Linked DNA regions of Macaca fascicularis. The protein of the gene in region 5 purifies or fractionates together with the protein of the main gene of each other region. This does not show direct contact. Links are inferred from orthologs where the notes say so. Each region holds a gene or a part of one and is shown on either strand. Other genes may lie near its edges. The genes, in order: BCL11A, KPNA2, SIN3A, CHD3, MTA2, ZNF512B and PARP1.

The links.
Region 1: the proteins of MTA2 (region 5) and BCL11A purify together in Homo sapiens (affinity purification with mass spectrometry; 4 studies listed by BioGRID and IntAct, with this or other methods). This does not show direct contact. The link is inferred for Macaca fascicularis from reciprocal best matches to the Homo sapiens genes MTA2 and BCL11A.
Region 2: the proteins of MTA2 (region 5) and KPNA2 purify together in Homo sapiens (affinity purification with mass spectrometry; 4 studies listed by BioGRID and IntAct, with this or other methods). This does not show direct contact. The link is inferred for Macaca fascicularis from reciprocal best matches to the Homo sapiens genes MTA2 and KPNA2.
Region 3: the proteins of MTA2 (region 5) and SIN3A purify together in Homo sapiens (affinity purification with mass spectrometry; 4 studies listed by BioGRID, with this or other methods). This does not show direct contact. The link is inferred for Macaca fascicularis from reciprocal best matches to the Homo sapiens genes MTA2 and SIN3A.
Region 4: the proteins of MTA2 (region 5) and CHD3 purify together in Homo sapiens (affinity purification with mass spectrometry; 8 studies listed by BioGRID and IntAct, with this or other methods). This does not show direct contact. The link is inferred for Macaca fascicularis from reciprocal best matches to the Homo sapiens genes MTA2 and CHD3.
Region 6: the proteins of MTA2 (region 5) and ZNF512B purify together in Homo sapiens (affinity purification with mass spectrometry; 3 studies listed by BioGRID and IntAct, with this or other methods). This does not show direct contact. The link is inferred for Macaca fascicularis from reciprocal best matches to the Homo sapiens genes MTA2 and ZNF512B.
Region 7: the proteins of MTA2 (region 5) and PARP1 purify together in Homo sapiens (affinity purification with mass spectrometry; 3 studies listed by BioGRID and IntAct, with this or other methods). This does not show direct contact. The link is inferred for Macaca fascicularis from reciprocal best matches to the Homo sapiens genes MTA2 and PARP1.

The regions. Positions count from the first base shown.
Region 1 is NC_088387.1:61,517,316-61,520,815, reverse strand, and holds part of BCL11A (B-cell lymphoma/leukemia 11A), read right to left. Parts: coding exon 1,632-3,500; 3' UTR 1,630-1,631; intron 1-1,629. UniProt on the Homo sapiens protein: Transcription factor. Associated with the BAF SWI/SNF chromatin remodeling complex. Binds to the 5'-TGACCA-3' sequence motif in regulatory regions of target genes, including a distal promoter of the HBG1 hemoglobin subunit gamma-1 gene.
Region 2 is NC_088390.1:74,467,001-74,470,500, reverse strand, and holds part of KPNA2 (importin subunit alpha-1), read right to left. Parts: intron 3,073-3,500; coding exon 2,804-3,072; intron 2,552-2,803; coding exon 2,457-2,551; intron 2,357-2,456; coding exon 2,093-2,356; intron 1,605-2,092; coding exon 1,371-1,604; intron 1,123-1,370; coding exon 940-1,122; intron 1-939.
Region 3 is NC_088381.1:52,597,009-52,600,508, forward strand, and holds part of SIN3A (paired amphipathic helix protein Sin3a), read right to left. Parts: intron 1,880-3,500; coding exon 1,672-1,879; intron 1-1,671. UniProt on the Homo sapiens protein: Acts as a transcriptional repressor. Corepressor for REST. Interacts with MXI1 to repress MYC responsive genes and antagonize MYC oncogenic activities. Also interacts with MXD1-MAX heterodimers to repress transcription by tethering SIN3A to DNA.
Region 4 is NC_088390.1:7,978,855-7,981,454, reverse strand, and holds the end of CHD3 (chromodomain-helicase-DNA-binding protein 3), read right to left. Parts: intron 2,412-2,600; coding exon 2,285-2,411; intron 1,800-2,284; coding exon 1,678-1,799; coding exon of another isoform or gene 1,559-1,677; 3' UTR 501-1,558; downstream 1-500.
Region 5 is NC_088388.1:11,457,078-11,461,141, reverse strand, and holds the start of MTA2 (metastasis-associated protein MTA2), read right to left. Parts: upstream 2,801-4,064; 5' UTR 2,386-2,800; coding exon 2,358-2,385; intron 1,622-2,357; coding exon 1,554-1,621; intron 1,186-1,553; coding exon 1,092-1,185; intron 1-1,091. Other genes in the region: EML3 (echinoderm microtubule-associated protein-like 3), read right to left, coding at 3,409-3,612, 3,693-3,823. UniProt on the Homo sapiens protein: May function as a transcriptional coregulator. Acts as a component of the histone deacetylase NuRD complex which participates in the remodeling of chromatin.
Region 6 is NC_088384.1:120,103,254-120,107,330, forward strand, and holds the start of ZNF512B (zinc finger protein 512B), read right to left. Parts: upstream 2,801-4,077; 5' UTR 2,665-2,800; intron 2,509-2,664; exon of another isoform or gene 2,363-2,508; intron 2,087-2,362; 5' UTR 1,396-2,086; intron 881-1,395; 5' UTR 879-880; coding exon 758-878; intron 452-757; coding exon 309-451; intron 1-308. UniProt on the Homo sapiens protein: Involved in transcriptional regulation by repressing gene expression. Associates with the nucleosome remodeling and histone deacetylase (NuRD) complex, which promotes transcriptional repression by histone deacetylation and nucleosome remodeling.
Region 7 is NC_088375.1:84,279,744-84,283,243, forward strand, and holds part of PARP1 (poly [ADP-ribose] polymerase 1), read right to left. Parts: intron 2,913-3,500; coding exon 2,814-2,912; intron 2,024-2,813; coding exon 1,871-2,023; intron 941-1,870; coding exon 813-940; intron 32-812; coding exon 1-31. UniProt on the Homo sapiens protein: Poly-ADP-ribosyltransferase that mediates poly-ADP-ribosylation of proteins and plays a key role in DNA repair.

The DNA.
Region 1 (3,500 bases), on a different chromosome or scaffold from region 5:
TCTCTGATTAGAGAAAAGATACAGATATCACAGGCAGAGTCAAGTGCTATTTGAACACCAACTGGGGCAGATGCTAGCTTAATAAAAAAGAAAAAATTAAAAAAATAAAAACAAAAACAATGAATCCTCTTCCATGTTAACACAAATAGCACACAGTGTATGGAAAAGAAATGAAGTACAACTTTTAGGGAGCACAGACATATATACTGCTACTCTTAAAATTCTTTCTCTTCTTTTTTTAAGAATGTCACATTTAAACGCAAGTCTTAAGAATTCATAGTTAATCATCATTGTATCAATATTAGCTTATATACCTGTTCTAGTTTTAAATGGCAAATAGTACCACGTTGTGCTAATAAATCATATTATTTTCTTCTGTTCCCCTCTGTCAAACCTTATTGTCAGCCTCTTCCTTTCAATATGGTATCCAAGGTCTTAAAGTTTATCATTTGATTGTCCACTTGACAACCAAGTAGATCTGGATCTATTTCTTTTGGTGCCAGAATTTTTAAAGAGACATTATTAAAGCAAATATCTTCATAAAATGAACTCCTTACTAGTGTATTTAATTGCGTTCCAGGGCTTTTGCACATTACACATTCAATTTAATCACTGTTTAAAAAAAATAAAACTTTGGGCAAAACAGCCCATTTCTTTTAAGCTCTCACCAGGAGCAAAGTAGCTTTTATACTGGTATAATCAGTTTTGTTTATAAAATTAAACTAAAGGAAAAATGATGATTAACTAGGACATAATGGGTCATATTTTTAGGTAGCCATTGTTGTGAGAAATACAATATAGAATTATATGCTAGTTCCTAAGGTTTATTACCTCACCCAATGCTGAATTAAGCTACAAGTTTATAACAAGTAGAAAGAACCATCAATGTGGTTTTAATAGATCCAAGGCACTCATATTTTAAAACCAAATGATAGAATAAACTTGTTCTGTTTTTCTGTTAGTTTGTCAATTCAAGGCCTTTTCTTCTTCCTCTCCAATTGATACATTTAACCCTTTAGAGACAGACATTTAGCTCATAGAGATTTTTTTTCCGTGCTATCTGTTCTGTCTATAGAGGGTTAATCCAAAGACTGTTTTTCCTCCTCACGTTATAAAATAAAACTGTACATGATATGTATTACAGAATGTATGCAGCATGGTCTTTTTCTCTCTCTCTCTTTTTCTCTCAGAACGGAACTGGAAACAGCAACATGTTTGCTCAGCAACGAATTAGGGACAATTTAAAATAGCCATAACATACCATACATGCTGTCTAAGTTTAAAAAAAAACATACACAACATGTAAATTATTGCACAAGAGAAAGGCTCAAAGTTTGCGTAAAATGCAATAGTATTGCCCCATACAGATCATGCATTCAAACGGTGAGAACATAAAGGAAAAAAAAAAGGAAAAAGAAAAAAGAAAAAGAAAAAGAAAAAAAAAACAGGTGTGCTGGTGACAAGCACTCTCATATTCTTAGCTTCATTACTTCTGTTTGTTTGTTTGTTTGTTTAAATCACATGGGACTAGAAAAAAATCCTACAGGGAGTGGGGCTGGAGGGCGATGGGGAAGGGGAGTGGTGAAAAAGGGGGTGTCAGGTGGGAGTGAGGGAGGGGTATTAATATACCTCTATTCAGTTTTTATATCATTATTCAACACTCGATCACTGTGCCATTTTTTCATGTGTTTCTCCAGGGTACTGTACACGCTAAAAGGCATCTTACAAATTTCACATTTGTAAACGTCCTTCCCCACCTGGCCATGCGTTTTCATGTGCCTGGTGAGCTTGCTACTCTGGGCACAGGCATAGTTGCACAGCTCGCATTTATAAGGCCTTTCGCCCGTGTGGCTTCTCCTGTGGACAGTGAGATTGCTACAGTTCTTGAAGACTTTCCCACAGTACTCACAAGTGTCGCTGCGTCTGCCCTCTTTTGAGCTGGGCCTGCCCGGGCCCGGACCACTAATATGGGGCGTGCTCCCTCCACTTCCCGTGCCGCTGCGCCCCGAGATCCCTCCGTCCAGCTCCCCGGGCGGTGTGGAGAAGCGCAAGCTCCCGTTCTCCGAGGAGTGCTCCGACGAGGAGGCAAAAGGCGATTGTCTGGAGTCTCCGAAGCTAAGGAAGGGATCTTTGAGCTGCCTGGAGGCCGCGTAGCCGGCGAGCCACTGCGAGTACACGTTCTCCGTGTTGGGCATCGCTGCCGGGGGCAGGTCGAACTCCTTCTCGAGCTTGATGCGCTTAGAGAAGGGGCTCAGCGAGCTGGGGCTGCCCAGCAGCAGCTTTTTGGACAGGCCCCCCGAGGCCGACTCGCCCGGGGAGCAGCCACGGCCGTTAACAGTGCCATCGTCTATGCGGTCCGACTCGCCGGCCACCGAGTCTTCGTCGCAAGTGTCCCTGTGGCCCTCGGCCTCGGCCAGGTGGCCGCGCTTATGCTTCTCGCCCAGGACCTGGTGGAAGGCCTCGCTGAAGTGCTGCATGGAGCTGAGCACCATGCCCTGCATGACGTCGGGCAGGGCGCGGCTCTCGTCGCCCACGCCCACCACCGCGCCCCGCGAGCTGTTCTCGTGGTGGCGCGCCGCCTCCAGGCTCAGCCCGAAGCCGTAGTCCACCCTCTCGCTCTCCGTCAGCTCCTCCTCCTCCTCTTCCTCCTCTTCTTCCTCTTCCTCGTCGTCCTCCTCTTCCTCCTCATCCCCGTTCTCCGGGATCAGGTTGGGGTCGTTCTCGCTCTTGAACTTGGCCACCACGGACTTGAGCGCGCTGCTGGCGCTGCCCACCAGGTCGCTGGTGCCGGGTTCCGGGGAGCTGGCGGTAGAGAGACCGTCGTCGGACTTGACCGTCATGGGGGATGATTTGTGCATGTGCGTCTTCATGTGACGCTTCAGCTTGCTGGCCTGGGTGCACGCGTGGTCGCACAGGTTGCACTTGTAGGGCTTCTCGCCCGTGTGGCTGCGCCGGTGCACCACCAGGTTGCTCTGAAATTTGAACGTCTTGCCGCAGAACTCGCATGACTTGGACTTGACCGGGGGCTGGGAGGGAGGAGGGGCGGATTGCAGAGGAGGGAGGGGGGGCGTCGCCAGGAAGGGCGGCTTGCTACCTGGCTGGAATGGTTGCAGTAACCTTTGCATAGGGCTGGGCCGGCCTGGGGACAGCGGTGGGCTAGACGTGTTCCCTGCCAGCTCTCTAAGTCTCCTAGAGAAATCCATGGCGGGAGGCTCCATAGCCATTGGATTCAACCGCAGCACCCTGTCAAAGGCACTCGGGTGATGGGTGGCCAGGGCCATCTCTTCCGCCCCCAGGCGCTCTATGCGGTGGGGGTCCAAGTGATGTCTCGGTGGTGGACTAAACAGGGGGGGAGTGGGTGGAAAGCGCCCTTCTGCCAGGCCGGAAGCCTCTCTCGATACTGATCCTGGTATTCTTAGCAGGTTAAAGGGGTTATTGTCTGCAATATGAATCCCATGGAGAGGTGGCTGGGAAGGACATTCTGCACCTAGTCCTGAAGG
Region 2 (3,500 bases), on a different chromosome or scaffold from region 5:
GCCTCCTAAGTAGCTGGAATTACAGGCGCCTGCCACCACACCCGGCTAATTTTTTGTATTTTTAGTAGAGACGGGGTTTCACTATGTTGGCCAGGCTGGTCTCAAACTCCTGACCTCGTGCTCTGCCCACCTCAGCCTCCCAAAATGCTGGGATTACAGGTGTGAGCCACTGTGCCCAGCCTGTAGACTCAACTTCTATATGTAAAAATCTCTAGAATCTAAAGTTGATGAGTAGGACTTACCTACCACCAATCACTATGACAAAGTGCCATATGCTGGTACGCTTGGATCAATTAGGGATACAACCAGAAGAAAAATATAAGTTATTCAAATTTTTTTTTTCTGAGATAGTTTCACTCTTCCGGCCAGGCTGGAGTGAAGTGACATGATCTTGGCTCACTGCAACCTCCACCCCTGGCCCAGGGTTCAAGCGATTCTCCTGCCTCAGCCTCCCAAGTAGCTGGGATTATAGGTGCCTGCCACCACACATGGCTAATTTTTGTATTTTTAGCAGAGACGGGGTTTCACCATGTTGGCCAGGCTGGTCTCGGACTCTTGACCTCAGGTGATCCACCTACCTTGGACTCTCAAAGTGCTGTGATACAGGCATGAGACACCATGACTGGCCAAGTCATTCAAATTTAATTTCACCAAAATTCAGTATGAAATTGGGACATTAAATCAAGTAAGTAAACAGATGTGATGAGTTCACATAAACGCCCGACTTCGATTCAGGTCCCATCATCCACTTGTCATCTCTTTCATCTTTGATAATGCCTGCCACATTTTTAATCAAAGGTGTGGCCCACCTAAACAGGCTTTCTGAATCTGTGGCTTACTAGTGACTAAACTTACAACAGTTGCCCTCCCCCAGGTCTAAATAGTAAACTGATTATTATCAAGTTCAAATTCAAACAAAGCCACCTTGATAGGTCTTACCTGAAAGATATTTGAAATGGCATCCAAGATAACCAGAATAATCTTGGTATCTTTTGCAGTTAAGAGGTTCATCAACGGTTCTATTATGCCACAGTGAACAAGGTACACAATCTGCTCAACTGTTCCACCACTAGTGTAGTTGGTCACGGCCCATACAGCTTCCTTTTGTGTCTTAAAATCTGCCTATTAAACATAAGGAAATGGTTTTATTTCAGAAAGTTGCAAGAATAAGTTTCCAGGAGTACTTTTTCACAAAAACAATGACTCAAAGTACCAAGGTTCTATCCAACTGTAAGTGAAAGGGGTTACTGGGTATTTTTCAGCAAAGGACTCCAAGTAGAACCCAAGATTCTTGCACGTGAAGAAGCTTATCAAGCAGAGCTTTCTATAAATACTAAAAATGACTTGATTAAATCCTAAGACTTCATTACCTTAGAGAGAACACTGACAAGGAATGGGACTAATCCATGATTCACAACTTGCTGTATCTGGTCCTGACGGCCAGCTGTGATGTTTGACATTGTCCATGTAGCTTCCTTCTGAATGTTAGTTTTGGGGTTGGTGAGCAGGCTGGGAAAGACAGCGAGCGCTCCTGCATCAATTACAACCTGAGTCTGTTCATCTGTACCAGTGACAATATTCCCTATGGCTCTTAGGGCAGGAGTCTGAAAAAAAAAAAAAAATGTTGATGCTGGTTTTTTCCCAGCACTTCAGAAATTCTGTACCCTAAAAGTTTTAACAAGAGGCCCATCATGGGTATGAAATAGGTAATATTTCAATATTAGTATCAACTGATAATGCTTTTTTTTTTTTGAGAGACAGGAGTCTTGCTCTTGTCACCCAGACTGGAGTGCAATGGCACGATCTCGACTCACTGCAGCCTCTGCCTCCCGGATTCAAGCAATTCTCCTGCCTTAGCCTCCCAAGTAGTTGGGATTACAGACGCGTGCCACCACATCCAGATAATTTCTTTGTATTTTTAGTAGAGATGGGCTTTCATCATGTTGGCCAGGCTGGTCTCTAACTCCTGACCTCAGGGGATCCACCCACCTTGGTCTCCCAAAGTGCTGGGATTATACAGGCGTGAGGCACCATACCCAGCCCTGATCATGCTTTTTATACTAATGTCCTAATCTACAAGTAAATAACTTACCACAATTGGCAATTCAGAAGCTCCTAGAAGCTTCACAAGTTGGGGCACAACTCCTGTTTTCACGACCATGTCAATTCGTTCATTCGGACCGTCAGTAAGGTAGGAAATAGCCCAGCAGGTATCTGCTAATACTTCTGGATCATCATGATGCAGGAGCCGAACTAAGGTAGGAAGAATCTGCTCAACAGCATCTATTGGGGGTGCAGGATTCTTGTTGCGGCAAAGATTTGAAAGTGTCCAGGTAAGATTGCGTAAGTAGCCACACTAGGGGGAAAAAAATAGGCAATGAGAGGTTCTGTCTTTTGAGAAGATGGGGGAAATTAGAATGAAGAAGTGAGTAACTTTATTCATGTTAGTAACTTACTGCTAAAGATGACATATCAGGAACCGCAAGCAGAGCCAACAGTGGGTCAACTGCACCATACTTAATAACCAAGTCTCGGAACACTGAGCCGTCACCTGAAAAAAAAGGCAAGATTAATTTTATTATCTTGTCCAACACCACCAATGTTCAGTGACTGATGCACCAGCAAAAACTCCCAAACGTACTTAGATGCCCCTCTGCTGCCTTTGTAAAGACGACACTTTCATTCCTAATAACGGCTTGAAAGCAAGCTCAAAACTTGATGAAGTCGTTACTATTTATAAGGCCTTTCTTTGAACTCATTACGCTTAGATACATTCAGTCAAAAGAACTTCAAGTCCAAGTACCTGCAATGTTTCCTAGAGCCCAGACGGCTTGTTCACTGATGTGAGCATGGGGAGATGCCAACAGAGAGATGAATGCTGGGATGGCACCTCCATCTACCACAGCCTTGGTCTGTTCTGATGTCCCAGAAGCAATGTTAGTGAGTGCCCAAGCAGACTCAAACTGAATGGGACTACAATCAGTTCTGCCCAAGAAGGACACAAATTTTGGAATCAAACCAGCCCGGATTATGCTGTCTATGGGGGGCTGTTTTTCTCTAGAAAGTAGTTTCCTAAAGGGGAACAAAAAGAGAAATAAAAGTTGAAAGTGGTTAACAAAAGGAGTTTGTGTAAAAACCAATTTAAAATGCAATTCAACAGTTTAGAACTTCAGACAACCTTTTAAGTAAATCACTAAATGCTGAGACATTCTGGAATCTAAGAGAAGCTGAACAGATTACCTATATGGTGCTATATATGCGGTATCATTAACTACCATTTTTCCAAAAATTAATGTAGATTACCCTCCTCTCCATCCCTGCAGAAATCTACAGATCTTGTCACTTTTTAAAAAAACTTTTGACGTTCTGACAGGGTTAGACTCCCATTGTTAACTGAATTTGTTCTCCCTGATAGTTGTGGTTAAGCACATTTTTCTTTTTGAGACGGAGTCTCGCTCTGTTGCCCAGGCTGGAGTGCAGTGGCCGGATCTCAGCTCACT
Region 3 (3,500 bases), on a different chromosome or scaffold from region 5:
TAAGCAAAACAAACCAAAAAACCCCAAAACGAATTAGGCACCATCCTTGATGTCCTCCTTTTGCTTACCCCCACATTTGATCCAATACCATCTCTTGTCAATTAAATATCTAAATTATATCTACATCCAGGCGTGGTAGCCTGTAGTCCCAGTACTTTGGGAGGCTGAGGTGGGTGGGTCACTTGAGGTCAGGGGTTCGAGACCAGCCTGGCCAACATGGTGAAACCCCATCTCTACTAAAAATACAAAAAATCAGCCAGGCGTGGTGGCGCGTGCCTGTAATCTCAGCTGCTCAGTAGGCTGAGACAGGAGAATCGCTTGAACCCAGGAGGCAGAGGTTGCAGTGAGCCGAGATTGGGTCACTGCACTCCAGCTTGGGCGACAAGAGTGAAACTCTGTCTCAAAAATAAATAAACACATAAAATCTACAATGTAATTCTTGCAATTCCACTGCCACCCTAGTAGTCTGGGTGGTCCCCAAATCTCATTTGGACAAGGGCACCCTTGAGTGGTCTCTGCTCTTCCAACTTTATACATACCCATCTCCACTCTCCTCATAGCACTCCAAGCTATCTTTGTCAAATGTCCCAATGCATCTCAAACAAACTCCAAACCATGGCCTATTAGACAAAGTAATGTGGCCTCTGCCTACCCTTCTAACTTCATGCAACCTTGAGCCACAACGGTGTCTGTAGTTTCTTGAATATGCCATGTTCTTTCCTCCCAGCCTTGTACTTGCTGTTTTGTCTAGAAAACACCCATCCTCTACTCTTCACCAGGCTAATTCCTTGTCATTATTCAGGCCTCAAGCATCACCTCCTTTGAGAAGCCTCCTCCAGTGAAAGCAGGGCCTGTATGCTAGTTACCCTTGATCACTGCACCTGATTTGTTTCCCTGGTAGTGCATATCATCACATTACTTCATCTGATCAACTTCATGGCTGTAGTCCCAGGGCCTGGCATAACACCCTGTACACAGCTGCAGCAGGAAGGTTTCACAATTGAGATAGAATGTAAAAACAGGTAGAATTCATACAAGCAAACGATCAGATACTACTTGAGATGTAAATACTGGGAGTAAATTCACTAAAAAGGTGCCACCAGGTATTTATATGCTCTTACGGGCTGAAGTGTGTTCTCCCTAAAATTCTTATGTTGGCTGGGTGTGGTGGCTCGTGCCTGTAAAGCTAGCACTTTGGGAGGCTGTGTCAGGCAAGACTGTCTCAAACAAACAAAAAATCAAATATTGAAGTCCTGGCCCACAGTACTTCCAAATGTGACCTTATCTGGAGGCAGACATACACACAGGTAGAAACACCATATGAAGATAAAGGCAGGGATCTACAAGCCCAGGAATGCCAAAGATTGCCAGCAAAGAACCAGAAGCTAAGAGAGGCCTAGAACAGATTGTCCCTCACAGTCCTCAAAAGGAACCAACACTGCTGACACCTGACTTTGGACTTCTAGTCTCCAGAACTTTTGTCGTTTAAGCCACACTCTGTGGTACTCTGTCACAGCATCCTTAGCAAACCAACATACCTACTTCCTCAGCTAAGTCTCAGCTCCAAGAACAGGTTTGCATAAACAAAGAGAAACAATCAGAAGACTCTGGGCCTCCCCTGCTCCTAGCTAGGGTGGCAGATGTGTACAGAAATTAGTTACTGGTTCTCACCTGATGAGCCCGGAGCAGGGCAGTCCTCCGATACATATAGTCCTCTGATTTGATCACATACACCATCTTGTAGGAATTCAGCTTGAATCTACACTCCAGCTTATCCAGACTATCCACATTCTCCATGGTCTTCTTACTGTTTCCTTCCTTCCCTTCCTTTTCCTGCTGCTCTCGACCACGCTGACATTTCCGGATCCGCCGTAGATTCCTATGGCAGAAAAGCCCTGAAAGATGAGAGCTCATCCAGACACAGATTCCCGTGACTTCCCCCAAGTGAGTTTTCTTTATTATATGCTTACATAGTACTCATCCCAATTTGTTAAATACATACAAAAATGTTCCGTTGTTTCACTGCAAAAAAAATTTCAACTGCAAAGGTACACAGAATAAAAAGTAGAAATCTTCACCCATCCCCTACTTGCCTTAGCAGATGCAGCCAGTTAAGAGTTTTAATGAGAAACTTCTGGGCCTCCGTCTGTAAATTTACACATGTAATTACCAGCTATAATTCTGCTTTGGGATTTGTTTCTAAGACAAAATAGGATCATACTATATATTCTGTCCTCAACTTTTCACTTACTGTCATGAGTATTTTTTCATTTCATGACAGATTTGTCTTATTCTCTTTAACTGCTGCAGAAAAATGTACCCCAATTTACCATTCCTTAACAGTTTATTTCAACTGAGGTTCCTCATCTGAACCACATAACAAAAAATTATTTGAATGCCTATTTTTAAAAATTCCCCCAGATGATATAAACTAGTGCCACTCTACATAGACAAGAAAGAAGATAATTCACATGAATGGATGCCCTGAGGGGTGGGAGGCTTGCTAAATCTCCTCAACATCCAGTGAAGAAAGGTTATCAGCTAGACAATTATACTGTTTCTCATAACTTGCTATTAAAAACACTGCTTCAGGTTGGCCGTTGTGGCTCATGCCTATAATCCCAGCACGTTGGGAGGCAGGTGGATTGCTTGAGCTCAGGAGTTTGAGACTAGCCTGGGCGACATGGCAAAAACCCCTTCTCTACAAAAAATAAAAAAATTAGGCAGGTGTGGTGATGTGTGCCTAGAGTCTCAGCAACTTGAGAGGTTAAGGTGGGAAGATCGCTTGAGCCCAGAAGGTGGAGGTTGCAGTGAGCCAAGATCCCACCACTGTACTATAGCCTGGGAGACAGAGTCAGATACTGTCTCAAAAAAAAAAAAAAAAAAAAAACCCCAAAATATTGCTCTAGTGAGTATCTTTGTATACATGTATTTCTGTAGACAGCAGTTCTTTGTCCAAAGGGTCCCAAGACCCTTTTAGGAGATCTGTGAGATCAAAACTATTTTCATAATAATACTAAAATATTATTTCCCTTTTTTGCTGTGTTGACATCTGCACTGGCACCATAAACGTAATGGTGAATAAAAATGGTGGTGGCGCCAAATTGTATTTGCAATATCGAACAAATTGTTACCAAATTCCAATATCAATCTATATACATCACTGAGCTTTTCATACAGTTGTCAAACTCTATTGGTTTATTTTGTACCATGAATGAATCCTTTTACTTCCACGATTTTGTAACCTCATGCAATTGCAATTCAAGTCTTTGAACTTCACACTGACTGCACAATGACATTAAGTGAAAAAAAGCCAGTTTCACTTAAGAAGGTTTCTGATGGGCCAGTCACAGTGGCTCACACTTATAATCCCAGCACTCTGGGAGGCTGAGGCAGGCAGACCACTTGAGGTCAGGAGTTTGAGACCAGTCTGGCCAATTGGGGGAAACCCCATCTCTAATAAAAGCACAAAAATTAGCCAGGCATGGTAGCGTGCACCT
Region 4 (2,600 bases), on a different chromosome or scaffold from region 5:
GAGCAATAAACATCAAGGAAGTGCCTAGCAGTTCAAATCTTTGGTAAGCTAGACAGATCTGACCCTCAACTCCTTTAAAAAAAAAAAAGTGTGCCTTTGCTTCATACTGGAACTGAACCTGTGGAGCTGTAGTGACCTCTACTGACTCTTAGGGGAACTAAAGTGCAACTTGAAGGTGGAAAGGATGATCAAAAGGATGGCTGGAAGGCAGTTTTGAATCTTGCTAGGCACTCCTCCCACTACATTTCTGTCCAGTAAGTCCCACTCTCTCTGAAGTCAACCTGAGGCCATGTAGTATCTGCTGCTCACCCTCCTTCTCTACACTGAGCCCATCACATAGTTGGAGCTGGAAGAACCTCAGTTTTAGTGAATAATCCAAGAGATAAAAATGAGGAAAAGGAAAAAGTCGTAAGATTTTTTTTAAAAAAGGCAGAAAGCAACAACTTTTCTTATCCCTCCCCCCAAAACTCCCCCCCCTATAAAAAATAACAGAGCACACAGAAAGGAAAGTATAATTTATATGTACAACCAATAAACCTGATACAGAAGAGGGGATCAGGACAGACCAGGAGTGGGTGTGAAGAGAGACTGGGAAGGGGGCAGCAAGAAAGTGAAGGGGCAGCAAAGAGGAAGTGGGGGGTTCGCCATGCAAACTGCCACTCTCCCTGGCCCCTCCTGGGAGGGGGGATGTGCCCACATTTCCCTTGCCTGCCCTCCACTACTTTGCTCTGGTCCCAGTGACAAGGTAGCTCCCAAGACCCTGACTAGGTCCCCTGCCTGACTTAACGCAAATTTAGTCTGTATCTAGGCCTTGAGGAGGGAGGGTAGTAGAAGTCTTCAGGAACCTAAGCCCCAGAGCTGGGGGCTTCCCCGCCACCGCCGTCTGGCCCATTGTATTCTCTCCCACCCTTCTAGGTGACCTGGGTCCCTAGAACAGGTTGGGGAGCTCCTCTTTGGCTTGAGGGAGTATCACCCAACCATTACTCTTTGTAGGGGTGGTCCTTGGTCCCTAGGGAGGGGGGAACATTCCCAACACAAGATGCCGGTACACAGGAGGTAACTGAGCCAGTGAACGGCGCCTTTATTCTGAGGCTGAACAGCAATTGACTTCCTCCCTCATAACTGCTCCACCCTCATTGTGGGGAGAGGTAGGGAACGGTAACATGCAGCCACCCCTCCTCGTCCCTTCCTCCCTCCCAGGACTCATTTTCATCCCTCTCTAAAAGTCCCCCTCCTCTCTTCAAAGCTCTCTTCCCCGCAAAAGTTCCTAAAGGCCAGGCAAGGCTAATTCTCCACTTCTGCATGAGATGGAGCTGATTCTGCAGGGAAACAGCTGGGGAGGCTCCACCTCTTGCCTCCCCACAACCATTTACTGGGAAGTTGTGTATACTTGGCGGTGGGGGAGGAAGGTACTTGGAAGACCCTGCCAGCCGTCTCCCACCCAGACCTCTTCTCACCAGCACAGTCTTCAAGGCTTGGTGGGAAAGGCGCGTGGGAGTGGAGAAAGACAAAGGGCCCTTCTTGAAGAGAGGAGCTGCAGAGAGGGGCAAAGGGGTTCCTAGCCCAGTGATGGCCCAAGGGGTGGGGAAGGTGGAGGGCTGGCAGCAGGCCCCAGCGCTTGAGCTGGGGGTCGGCCTCGGGGACGGGGCCTGGGTGAAGGGCAGGCCTGGGATCCAGTCAGTCGTCTATACAGATCACCTCCCCGGCTCGGGGCTCCTTCCGATCCAGCCCGTCTGACACCAACGCCCCCACCATTTCCTTCTCCTTCTTCACCAGCACTGGAGGGCCGTTGGTGGCGGCTGTTTGGGAAAGTGGTAAGGAAAGATCAATTCCCACATCACTCCCAAACATCACTTCATGACAGTGGTGAATTCTCACTTCTAGGCCACCTCCTGCCACTTCCAGTTGCCCCAGGTAAGGGTGGGAAGACAAGGGCAAACCCCTTTCCCTGAGATTCCACTTTGTGTTACATGATTGAACACGTGTTCCCACTCTATACCCCTCGGGTTTCATATTCACTTTCCCTTGAAGGAACCTGGAGGGAGGTGGCTTGGGTAGAAGACACCAAGTCACAGATCTACTAAAACTCTGGTTTTTGATAAAGGAGATCAAAGAGGGGTTAAGAAAGGGATGGGGGGACAGCCTAGAACAACTCTATCCCATAAAACACCAGATACCACCAAGGAAATGAGATGGACTAGAGCAGTTAAAGGGCAGCTGAGCAGAAATAAAGTTTGGCAAAGGAGGAGTGTGAGTAGCAGGGGGTAGGAAAACACCAGCTGACCTGTGATGAAGGACCCTGCAGGCATCTGGCTGTAATTGGCGCCTGCGGCGGCCAGGGCCCCTACGGGTGCGGCGCTGAAGGCCGCCCCGTACCCCGGAGGTGTAGCGTAGGGACCCGGGGGGAAGGCCTGGAACAGAGAGTAAGCAGAAGTTGGAGTTAGTTCATAGTCTGTGAGAGGAAAGAAGCTGTAGGGGAGACATTAGGAGCCACACTCCACAGCTACTGAGGGTAGGATACACAGGCAGGCAGACTCACTCAAGGGTGACGACTGTGTTCTAGCAAGATGTTTTTCCATATTGTATAGGATTCTGATGGA
Region 5 (4,064 bases):
AGCCCTAACTATCCCTCATTCTCTACTTGGCTAATAATAGTTCCTAGGGTTTTCAAGGACAACACCTCTCAAGCTAGTGCCAACATCTTCCTCCTGAAAGAGCTGCAGCTTGCCCTGAAACCTAGTGGAAGGGGTTAATCTGGCTAGGCGCCAACCAAAGTGGGAGGGGGCAGAAAAGCCTCAGGCCCAGGCTCATTGGTGCATTGTTCCCAACCTCAGGGAGAAGGGGGGGTTGTGCAGTAGGCTCCACCCCTCGCTTGTGTGCTCCGGAAACCCTGTGCTAAGGCAAGGGGGACCACACCCCCAACACCCCTTCTGATTGGACAAGGCCAAGGTCAGCCCCTGCCAGATGGGGCTGGAAACCCTAAAGGGCCAGGGAACTTGGTTAGCCAGGATCCTCTTTAACCCCTTCTCACCCAGAGCAGTCTGAAAAAGGAAAATGATTTAGAAAGGTGGAACAAAAGGAAGGAAAAAGAAAACCAAAGCAGGAAAGGAAAAAGAAGCTAAGAAAATATTTTTTTTTTTAAAAAAGAAAATGAGACCTTAAAGAGGATGAAAATAGAGCAAAATGAAAAGGGAAAGATGTAAAATGGGGGGTGGCAGGTGGGGAAATGGGCAAGGTGAGAAATTAAAAAGTGCAAGAAAACTTCCAGCCATCTTCTAACTTCCAGGTATTCTCACCACCTTGTGATTACAAAATAAGGCTGCTTCTGTTATGCGGGCTTCTCAGTACAATCTCTTCCTCTTCACCTTGACCTTCAGTCACCACCTACTGTCCCAGTGTACCCCAAACTGCCCCCCTTTAGAAAAGCATTCTGTTTCTCTAAACCCCGTCTTCATCCCCTAAATAAACCGTATCGTCTCTCTCCTACTCTCATACACAAACCATATCATGGCTTTCCTTATCACAATCTCTCCACCCTGCTTCCAACCCCAACGTGTAAAAACAGGTCTCCCTCCTCAGGCCAGGCATTTCCCACCCTCAAACTCACACCTCTGCCTTGGGCATGCTACCAGGGGAAATACCTGCAGGGACATGCGCAGGCCTCAGATCATGGGGAGGGGGAAAAGAAAGGGATGAAGATACTCACTGGCATTACTATCAGCCAAGCTGTTGAGGCTACTAGAAATGTCCCTGCGCCGGAAAAGACAGACGACCTTTGCCTCCACATTTCCATTTGCAGTCTAAGGGGAGGAAAAAAACAAAAACAGAAACAAAACAACGTAGCAGTGAAAATTGATCATCTGGGAACAGAAATACACAAAGAGACAAATAACAGTAAGTTTCGGAGGGACCTAAATTAAAAAGCCCAAGAAAATATGAGTAAATACTTACATTCAAGGACAGACTTCCAAATCCCTTTCCTTTGCCCCCAAGAGACAGAATAGTAAAGTTCCTGCTAAGCTCTCAATAGCCTTTCCTGAATACATCCAATTAATGAATGAATGAATATGAATGGGTACTTAGTATAGGGTCCTCTCTTCCACCTGAAGTTAGAAACCTCAGAAGAGACCACTGGGGGAGGGAGGGAGAGGGATTCTGCTCCACTCACCTTGTTGAGTTCCTCAATCCGTCTAACCAGGTAAGGATTGCTGGAGGAGTTCTCAAAATAGACGTAATCTGTAAGGGAAGGGAGGGGCGAGAACCACGAAGATCAGAGGAGATGGGAGAGACGCAGAGCACCACAGTAGGAGAGAAAGTTGGCCTGAGTGGATCAAAAGAAGATAAGGATTCAGGCAGAGAGCGCGCTGAGATGTGAAAGTGTAAAGACTAAGAGAAAATAAGGATGTCCCCCACCCCCACCGCACCTAGTTCTAAAATCAGATCCATTACTCAAAAGTGAGCCTTAAGGAACAGGCAAGAAGCAGGGGTTCCCCTGCAGTCCCCACAACTCAGCAACGAGTTGCACCTCAGTCGCGGCGAAGTAATTGTTCGCTCTAGCGCAGGGCCCCCACCTTTTCGAACTGAGGCGCACAATAACGCCTGGGAAGAGGAAACCTCCGGGCGGCTCCTCCGCGGTGGCAAAGCCGTCGCCCCAGCCCCTCGCGTTCCCTCCCCACCCTGTCAGCTCCTTCGGAACCGGTTTCCGAAGCCCACTCCGTGCCCCGAGGAGCCCCCGACGCAGCCCTGAAAGTGCCGTCGGGGCTGCCCGCAGCTTCTCTCCAGGAGTCTCGGCGCCCTGCCGCGTCGCGGTTTCCCGCACCCTAGCTCCTCGTCTCCCGGTTCCGGTTCCGGTCCGCGCTCCGGTCCATGCCGCCCCATACGCTGCGCCTCGCGCCACCCGGTGCCGAGCCCCTCCGGTCCCGACCCCAACCTCTCCCGCCCCGGACCCTGTACCCCTGCGCCCGGTACTCACCTCCCACCCGGTACATGTTGGCCGCCATGGCCGTTCCCGCCGCCGCCTCCGGCCGCACAAAGGGGTCCGGGAGGCTCGCGGGGGCAGGGCTCGGCTAGAGGCAAAGCCCTGAACGGTGGGCTGGCGCTTCGAGGGAGTCTCACTGGGGCCCGCGCAGCCGTCACCTCCGCTGCCTCAGCCGTCGCGGTTCATCCCGGCCCGCGCTATCGCCGCCGCAGCTATCGCCTCACTCCCGGGACGCTGAGGCTGGCCCCGGTCCGCTCGGCTTCTTCCGGAACGAGCTCGGCTCCTGCCAGGCGAGAGCCAGGCTGCAGCTGCCCCCACCCCCGCCGAGTCCCACTAGTCGTTGGGCTCTGCCGGCCGCAGGGAAGGCTTGCCCGGCCCGCCTCAGGGTTCGCCTCCTTCCGGAACACCTTCGGCCGATCCGGAGAACAAGGCCCACTGCTCGGCTCAGGTCGGAGAGCGAGACCCCGCAGATCGGCTACTTCCGGAAGAAGTTCGGCTCCTGTCGGCCAATCGCTCGGCTATTTCCGTTGCAGCTCGGCACCCCCCCACCCCTTTTTCCGAGGGCGGGAGAGGAGTGGGGCTTAACTCTGTCCTAGCTGGAGCCCTGCAGCTCCTCCTCCCGCCCCGAAGACTCGCGCGCCTTAGCGCTTCGCCAGGTTATTTGCAAGCGGCTTTGCCTGTTATTTGCATAAATGGTCTACGCTCCCTTGCCCTTTCCGCACGCCTCTTTTCCTTCGTCCCCACCCCACAGGGCCCCGGAGGCACCCAGCAGCGCCCCACAAAAGCACCGGGAGGCGACTTTGGTTCTGGTTTATTGCCCCTCAGCAGGCAGCGGGAGTCAAGGCCTAGGTTGGGGCTGCCCGGCTCAACCAGCGGGTCTAAACAGTGTGTGCAGGGGCGCCGTTCGCGCCCTCCAGGGAAATGCACCGTCGGGAATGTTTCGAAGTCAGTCGAGGAAAGAGTCGGCCCCTGGTCGTGGGGGATTAGGGCGGGGCAGAGCGGGGCGGGGCCACGCCGCCAGGCCAGTAGGTCCCGCCGGCAGCGATCAAACGTCGAGGGAGGAGGCGGGGGACAGGGAGGGGGTTCGAGAGGGCGTGGCAGGCGCCGGCCCCGCGCCCCCAGCGCCCAGCACTCGCCACTGGAAGATGCTGGCGTCCTTGCCGCCCAGCGAGACGAGGTGCGAGTCGTCGTGCGTGAACCGGACGCTGGTCACGTGGCTGCCGTGGCCCCCGTACATGCGGCTCGGCGCCTGGGCGGGAGGGAAGAGTTGCAGTGGCGGCGGAGCCCTCGGGCCCACCCGTCCCACCCCGGCGGCCCCCGCGGCCTCACCTTGGCACGAGCGCACGGGTACTGGAATAGATGCACTTTGCAGAAGTCGTCGGCCACCGCCACCACGCGCTCGTTGTGGGAGCGGCACAGGGAGTTGATGTCGGTCCCATCGGAGCCGTCCGGCCACACGCCTAGCACAGTGGCCGGCCTCAGCCCGACCTCCTACCCACCGCCACCCACGGCCCAGAGCTACACCGTTTCAGGCGCTCCGGCAGCCGCAGCCACCCACTGTCGCGTTCCAGGAAAGCCTTCCCGGTCCCGAGGGCCGGAGGGGCCTCCTGGGCTGGATCTTCAGGTTTCTGGACTCTCACCCAATGACACACGCCCAGCGTTCCGAGCCCAAACTGGGCTCCACCTTGTCCCCCACCCCTC
Region 6 (4,077 bases), on a different chromosome or scaffold from region 5:
AGCCCGAGCCCCACACTCAGAGCCCTCCCTGGGCCTGCAGGGTGCACACACCACATGAGCCCCTCAACATCGGACTGCAGTGGGAATTCAAGCCACCCAGCAGGGGCCATGCACAAGACCTGCTCTAGGAGCCCAGAATCTCCCGGCACACCAGATATAAAGCCAGACCACATGAAGCCTGCCAGGCCAGTGCCCACACCTTGAGGCACAGAGTTGGTACCAGATGTGCAGAGGACAAATCAGGGCAGGGCAGTGGCTGGACAGGGAGACCCCAGCATGAGCCCCACCATGGCCCTGAGGGAGCTCACAGGAATGTCTCGGAGGGCCTGGTTCTCGGCTTTTGGCCGCCCCTTTTTCTTCCCTTCTGTCTTGTCGCTGGCTGGACTTCCTGGGTCAAAGCAGAGAGGGGCTTGGCCAGGCACTGTCTGTCCACCACGGACCACCGGCATCCCTGCAGCACATAACACAGCAAGGCTCGGAAGCTGTAGCACTGTCTACCACTGGGGGCTGCACAGGCCCACAGTGAGCGCCACTGTCCCAACACCAGGGCACCGGGAGCAGGGGCTGTGGCCAGCTGAGGACAAGAACCCAGGGCCCTGGGCGATGTCCAAGGCAACCCTTCCCCTGGTAAGGTCCTTGGGAACTCAAGGGGCCTAGCTGGGTACCTGGAGACAGGATGCCCGGGGCCGTGGCCCACTCCTACCCCTTGCTGCCCAGAACCATGCCCAGAATTGACTTTGGCCCTGACTCCTCTTACCCATCTTCGGTGGATCATGCAGCATTGGAAGTCGGACCTCCTTTCGACTGCCATCCTTCCCGGGACCACTCTTGCTGGACCCCGGGGGCCGACGGCCTCCAACGCAGAAAGGATCCGTCATCTCTGCGGAGCAAGTAGACAATCTGTGAGGCCTGACGGGCCCCACTCAGAACACGTAGTGAGGCTGCCCTGGAGCCCCGCCCTTGGCAGGTCCTCGCTGGTCAGGGAAGAGGGGCCTGCCCTCCTGTGGTTTTGTTCACGTGGGAAAAGCAAGTGATGGGGGGTTCTGACTTAGGGGAGGGGCTGCCAGCCAAGGTCTCCCCAGATAACCCAGGAGGCGTCATCAGTTTGGAAGGATCTAGTCCTGTCCTGAGACCCTCACCAGCTTCCAGATCCCCTTCCCAACACACAGCCCCATAGCTGCAGAGATGATGCTGGAGGTGATGCTGGGAGGGGTGTGCCCCCGGGAGAGGTGCCTTGTGCAGGAGGAAGGAGGCTGGCAACATTCCTCCAGGGGACAATTATGTCTCCGATGATGGCTGCTGGCTCACAAGCTGCCCGGGCCCAGCAGTGGGGGCACAGCTTCTCACTGGGGCCCTGGTACCCTCCCATGCAGACCTGATGCAATGCCAACCTACCCAGGCAGGTACCCTTGGAATCTTCTCTCCAGACACAGATGGAAAACAGCCAAGGTGGGCACTGAGGACCCCCAGCCCACTCCAGCCCTGCACCAGGCTTCTGTCTCTGTTCTGGCTGAGCTATCCCCCCGACCCTCTTCACAGACTTGTCTGCGGGCCTGGCAGGCTGACCCGCCCCCAATCTCTCTCTGGAACTCTCAGTCCCCTGCCCACAGACCCATTACCACCACCTCAGCCAAACAAGTAGTGGAAGCACTAGCAGTGAAGGCCCAGGCTGCTGGCCAGAGAGAATGCCCTGCTGCCCAACGCTGGGCCCCCCCGAGGTCCTGTGCTGCTGGGAACCCCATCCTGAGAGCTGGGGAGCAGAGGAGACTCTGGGCTCAGCCCTGTGGAAAAGCCACGGAAAGAGGTGGGACAGGAAGCAGGGTGAGGGCTGGGTGGGCAGGTGGCCCCCTCCTGATACCTTCTAATTAACTTAGATCAGAGGGGATGGGAAGGGGCTGCTGTGTCCAGGAGGGCCAGAGAGCTGAGGTCAGAGGTCAGGACAGTCACTGCCCATTGCCAAGGGGGAGGCCAGTGTCCGGGCACAAAGTTCTCTGGAAGTCCTCACTTTGCAACTTTGAAAGGAGACAGGGTCCGCATGAGTCATCCCAGCACCTGACGACCCCGGTGGCCCCAATTTTTCTGAAGCCTGGGAGAAGAATTCAGAGTAGTGGGACCTGAGGCCAGGGCCGGCCTGGGAGGTAGAGACGCGACTGGCGCCCCGGGCGAGAAGGGGCTTCGGCCCTCCCGAGCCCAGCGGGCACACCGAGCCCTGGCGGGGAGAGGGGGCTCCGCCGCGCTGCGCGCAGGAGACGCCAGCAGCGGGTCCGCCGCGTAGGCCGTTCGGCCCGGGACCCCGGCCCAGGCCTGGCGCGAGGGTGAGCGCGGCCAGGGACGCGCACCTGGGGCCAGCCTCGCCACCCACCTGTCACCTGGGGCCGGGAGCGGGCGCGGGCGCGGGGCGCGGGCCTCGGCCTGGCCGGGCAGGGCCGATCGCGGGCGCGGGGTGGGGGGGCGAAGGCAGTGAACCAAAATGGCGACTTTTTCTGGAGAAGGAGGAGGCAGGAAGACGGCGCCGGCGCGGGGCGCGGGGGCTCGGGCGCGGCGGGGGGCGGGGGGGCTCCGGGCCCGGCCCCCTCCTCGGCCTGCGCGCGGGGTCGAGATCCGGGGCGCGGTGGGCGCCGGGGCTGCGGCCAGATCGGGGCTGGGGCACGGCCGGGCGCTTACCTGCGGCGCCCAGCGGGGCTGCGGCCGGGCCGAGCCGGGCCGGGGTGGGGGGCGCGGGGCGCGGGGCGCGGGGCGGTGGGTCCGGGCGGCGCAGGCTGCGCGCCGCGCTGCGCACATGCGCGCTCCCGCCCCTCCCACCTTTGACAGTTTTACTGCGGGGGGGAGGGGGCGAACTCTCGCGTTATTCCCGCGGCCGCTCCGCGGCGGGGAGGGGGCGGGGAGGGGGCGGGGAGGGGGCCCGGCGCTGGCCTGTGGTCCCCCCCCCGCGGTTCCGCCCCCGTCGGCCGGGCCCGCAGTCCGGAGTAGCCAGTTCTGCCGTCCTGGGGCGCGGGGAGTTTTTTGGACAGTGGGGTAAACTGAGGCCCGATAGGGGCGCTGGGCACTGCCCGGAGTCCGGCGCGCACGGATTGAGGCGACCTGATTCCGCCGCATCCTGGCCCGCGCGGCGAGGGTGGTCTCTGGGCTCGAGTCCCTGACCTCTGGCCCTGGGGGCCGTGCACCGGCAAAGCAGGATTCAGCCTCTTTCCAGCCGGCCCTGAGACCACTTTTGCGACTGGCCCCTGGCGGTGCCTGGTGGCTTGAGGCCATGGAGCTTTACTGGGGTCACTGACCATTGGGTCAACCTTTCCCAGCTCTGGGGGCAGTGGTTCTGAACCAGTGCCAGGGCCTTCCCTGCCCCATATCCTGGGCTTCTGCAGGGGGCACTGGGGTCCGGTGTGGGCTGAGTGGTCTGGAGGCGACGGGGCACTGACACCACAGGACTTGAGAATTGAATGAGGCAGAGAAAGGTGTAGCTCTCCTAAAGAGGACGGAGGAGGCCCCACACGGGACTAGCACAGGACCCGCAAGAATCTCCCCCAGGAGAGTCCTGTCCTGTCTGTCTGTCTGTCTGTCTGTCTGTCTTTCTTTCTCTTTTTCTTTCTTCTTTCTTTTTCTTTCTTTCTTTCCTTCCTTCGTTCTCTTCCTTCTCTTCCTTCCCTTCCCTCTCTTCCTTCCTTTTCTCCTTCCTTCCTTTTTCCTTCCCTCCCTTCTCTTCCCTCCCTCCCTTCTTCTTTCCTTCCCTCCCTCCCTCCCTTCCTTCTTCTTTCCTTCCTTCCTTCTCTTCTGTTCCCTCCCTCCCTTCCTCCCTTCCTTCCTTCTCTTGCTTTCCTTCCCTTCCTCCCTTCCTGCCTTTTCTCCTTCCTTCCTTCCCTTCCTTCTCTTCCCTCCCTCCCTTCCTTTCTTCTTCCTCCCTTCCTTCCCTCCCTTCCCTTTCTCCTTCCTCTCTCTCTTTCTTTCTTTCTTTTTTTTTTTTGAGAGGGAGTCTCGCTCTGTCGCCCAGGCTGGAGTGCAATGGCCGGATCTCAGCTCACTGCAAGCTCCGCCTCCCGGGTTCCCGCCATTCTCCTGCCTCAGCCTCCCGAGTAGCTGGGA
Region 7 (3,500 bases), on a different chromosome or scaffold from region 5:
GCTGATATGTGAAGCGTGCTTCAGTTCATACCTATTCAAAAGAGGACGGGCTCAGAAGAGGCTTTCACACTGTGCTCTCAAAACCAAGTTTGATTAGGAGAATAAGATCAGATATAGAGATGAGATAAAAGCCCACAAAACCCAGACCATCTTAACTGCTCAGGCTTCCTCCCGAGTTTCTGGAACTGCTCCAGAACCTGAAGCTGCGGTTGCGGCTGAACATAGTCTGTGCCCAGCGATCACTGCTATGGGGCCATTTTCAAGGAAAGGCCCTATATGGAGTGGTGAACGGCAGCTCTGGGTTTCCGTCCACATTCCACAGTCCCCAGACCCCTGGCCATTTACATGACCCTGTGCTTTTGGTTACAGTTCACAGGACTAGGGTGGATGTCCAAATCAAGCTGGACTAATCAGATCTTTCTCTGTGGAGAATCTGGAAGTGGGATTAAGATTCCAGTTCTATTTGGGTTGGTCTAAGAAAACTGAAACACTGCTGAGTGGAGGAGGAGGCCATGGGGGATCATCCTTTGTGCAACTCAATCTCTCTGCTTCCCAGTCCGTGGAGAGAAGACACTGCCAGCTCTGGAGGCCTGGCTGCGTTCCTGCCCTTGCATTTCCTGAAGTATCCTTGTATCTCCCTTGTTCCCTTAACTTGAATTGGATTCTGTTATTTACAAGAAAAGAATCCTAATTGGCAGGTCCAGTAACTGTAGTGGGGAATTTCCACTCTCCCAGCCAAAGGGAGTTCTGCCTATAGCCCATTCCATCTGTCCCCATGAAATGCCATCGGTCCCAGAGCCAGGTTTACTCACATGTTTCCAAGGGCAACTTCTCCCAACACGATTAAGCCTATTGGGTCTCCCTGAGACGTATGGCAGTAGTTGGCACTCTTGGAGACCATGTCAGCGAAATAGATCCCTTTACCAAACATGTAGCCTGTCTGGAAGGTTGGAAAAGGGACAGCTGAGAATCTTCTGATGGGAAATTAGGAGCAGCTGTTCACTGAGTGCCAACATGAGCAAGCCACCCAGCTAAGTGCTGCAATCCATCACTTCTAATTCTCACAATGCCCATGCTGAGGAAACACCAAAGTTTTAGCTCACAAGCCAGGCTGCTCAGATCCTAGCTCTGCCAGGTGCCAAGGAGCTGCAAGAAGCTATGTAACCTTTCTGGACTCTACTTGCCTCTTTTAAGTGGGGAACATAATCTCATGGAGCTGCTGTGAGGATGGAATGAGCTCATCAATGTTACTTAAACTAGTGCCTGTCAACACCCAAGGAACGCAGACTGGTATTTTTATTCCCTTTTGTAAGTGAAACACAAGGTTCACAAAGGGTAGGCCATTTGCCCATTATACACTACTGCACAGCACCAGAGAGCATCATTTAAACCACTCTCCTCCTCGTTCTACAACTGTGAAACTAGAGGCTTGGAAGGCCCTGTCCAGCTGGACCCATCTAGAATCCAGCAGGTGGCATCACGACCCCTCGTGTCTGGGTAAAGCCTTACTTATTTATCACTACGTTTTCCTGCTGAAGACACTGACACTCAAGAGGTGGCCCGGCTGGGAAGTGGTAGAGGTAGGCCTGGACTCAGCTTGGCCTGTAGCCACGTGTCTGTTCTTTGCTCATCAACACACCCAATTAGCATTTGCAGCAGGCCCTGGCCTGGATGCTCTATCTCCTTTGTTCCAGAAACTGTGTTTGAAACTCCTGACAGGATCAGGGTCAGGAGGATAAAAGGGTGAAGGCCTAAAGAAAGGATGTCTGGCAGCATCCCCCTAAGCCAACTAGGCCTCTTACTCAAAGTTCTTTATGGAGACACCTGCAGAGACAGGTATTGCCCACCCCTCACTAGGCCAGGCACATACCACAGGTGCTTCAGGCGGGGCTATCCGAAGACCCTGGGACAGGATCCCGGCAAAGTTGGTGGTCCTGGACCCGTGCCACAGCAATCTTCGGTTATGAAGCTGCTTAAAGGGCTTGTAGCGCTGGCATTCGCCTTCACGCTCTATCTTAAAGATCTGGTTGTAGTAGTAAACAAAGGGAGGGACAAAAGAAGCCATTTGTTACTCTGGTTGATTGAAAGATAGGACTGGACACAGGAGAAATGACTGGCTGTCCCTAAGGCTAGAAGACTTAAGGTCTGCTGCAATGCAGAAAATGTTTTCCACAAGGCTGGGATGGAAGGTCAAGGTCTGGCCCAGCAGAGCCCAGCCATTGCTAGTTAGTATTACTGTGCAGCAGATGTGCACTTGAGGAACTTTATCTTAGACCTCTGATAATTGTACGTTCTGAGACCAGGTTTGGGGATGGGAAATGTCCTTTAAAACATAATAAAAAGCCATCCCCAAACTACTGTATAAGATGCTAATTTTATAATCTCAGCACTTTGGGAGGCCAAGGAAGGCAGATCACCTGAGGTCAGGAGTTCAAGACCAGCCTGGCCAACATGGTGAATCCCTGCCTCTACTAAAAATACAAAAATTAGCCAGGTGTGGTGGCGCATGCCTGTAATCCCAGCTACTCTGGAGGCTGAGACAGGAGAATCACTTGAACCCGGGAGGCAAAGGTTGCAGTGGGCTGGGATTACACCACTGCACTCCAGCCTGGGTGACAGAGTGAGACTCCATGCCAAAAAAAAAAAAAAAAAAAAAAAAAAGACTACTAATTTTTCTGCTGAACAAATGAGTCACTTCTTTGGATTATTTAAAGTAAGTAAACTGCTCTTTTCTACCCAGGCCCAGGTTGGAGGAGTGGGCAGGGAAAAGCTGGCAGGACACAGAAGAAAGTGGGGGAAGAAGGGATTCTTACATCGATGACTTCCAAGTCATACGCATTGTGTGTGGTTGCATGAGTGTTCTTAACATACTTCCTGATGATCTCGGCTTCTTCAGAATCTCTGCCAACCACCTGGGTAAACAGAATCTTGGGATTAGCACAAAGGAGACCCCAGGAGAGCTACAGAGGAGGAATGCTCAGGCTCAGTCGATGCACAGCTCAACACCACACTCCTCAAAGGAAGCCAGGCATGACCGAGAGCCTGTGTCCCAGGCCCGTGGGCTGGGCAGATCCTGGGCCAGTGGCTCCACTTTCCTCTTCATCTACTTGGGCTCAGGGTTCCTTTTTGTCTTAAAATTCTATGTTTTGGGATATCAGGGAAGCTGGAATATGGGGCTCACTGTCAGTGAGCAGGGCATTTCCAGAACAAGCAACTGGCTCCTGGAAGAGAGTCCAGCTCAGCATGAGTTAAAACACAATGGGCCAGAGGAAGTCACAGCTATGATGTGCAATTAAAATTATCCCTGGCTCAGTGCACAAGCCTAACAAGCAGCTGTCAAATAGCTGACGTAATCTATGCTAAGTAAACCTGAGTATTATAGATGAGACTAGTTATGTTTTATTTTCATATTTATATTCAAAGTTCAGAAAACCTAGGAATGCTGGTCTACCTCACTGTCTTTTAATTAAAAGTCTTCAGAATTGTAAACAGAGAATAAG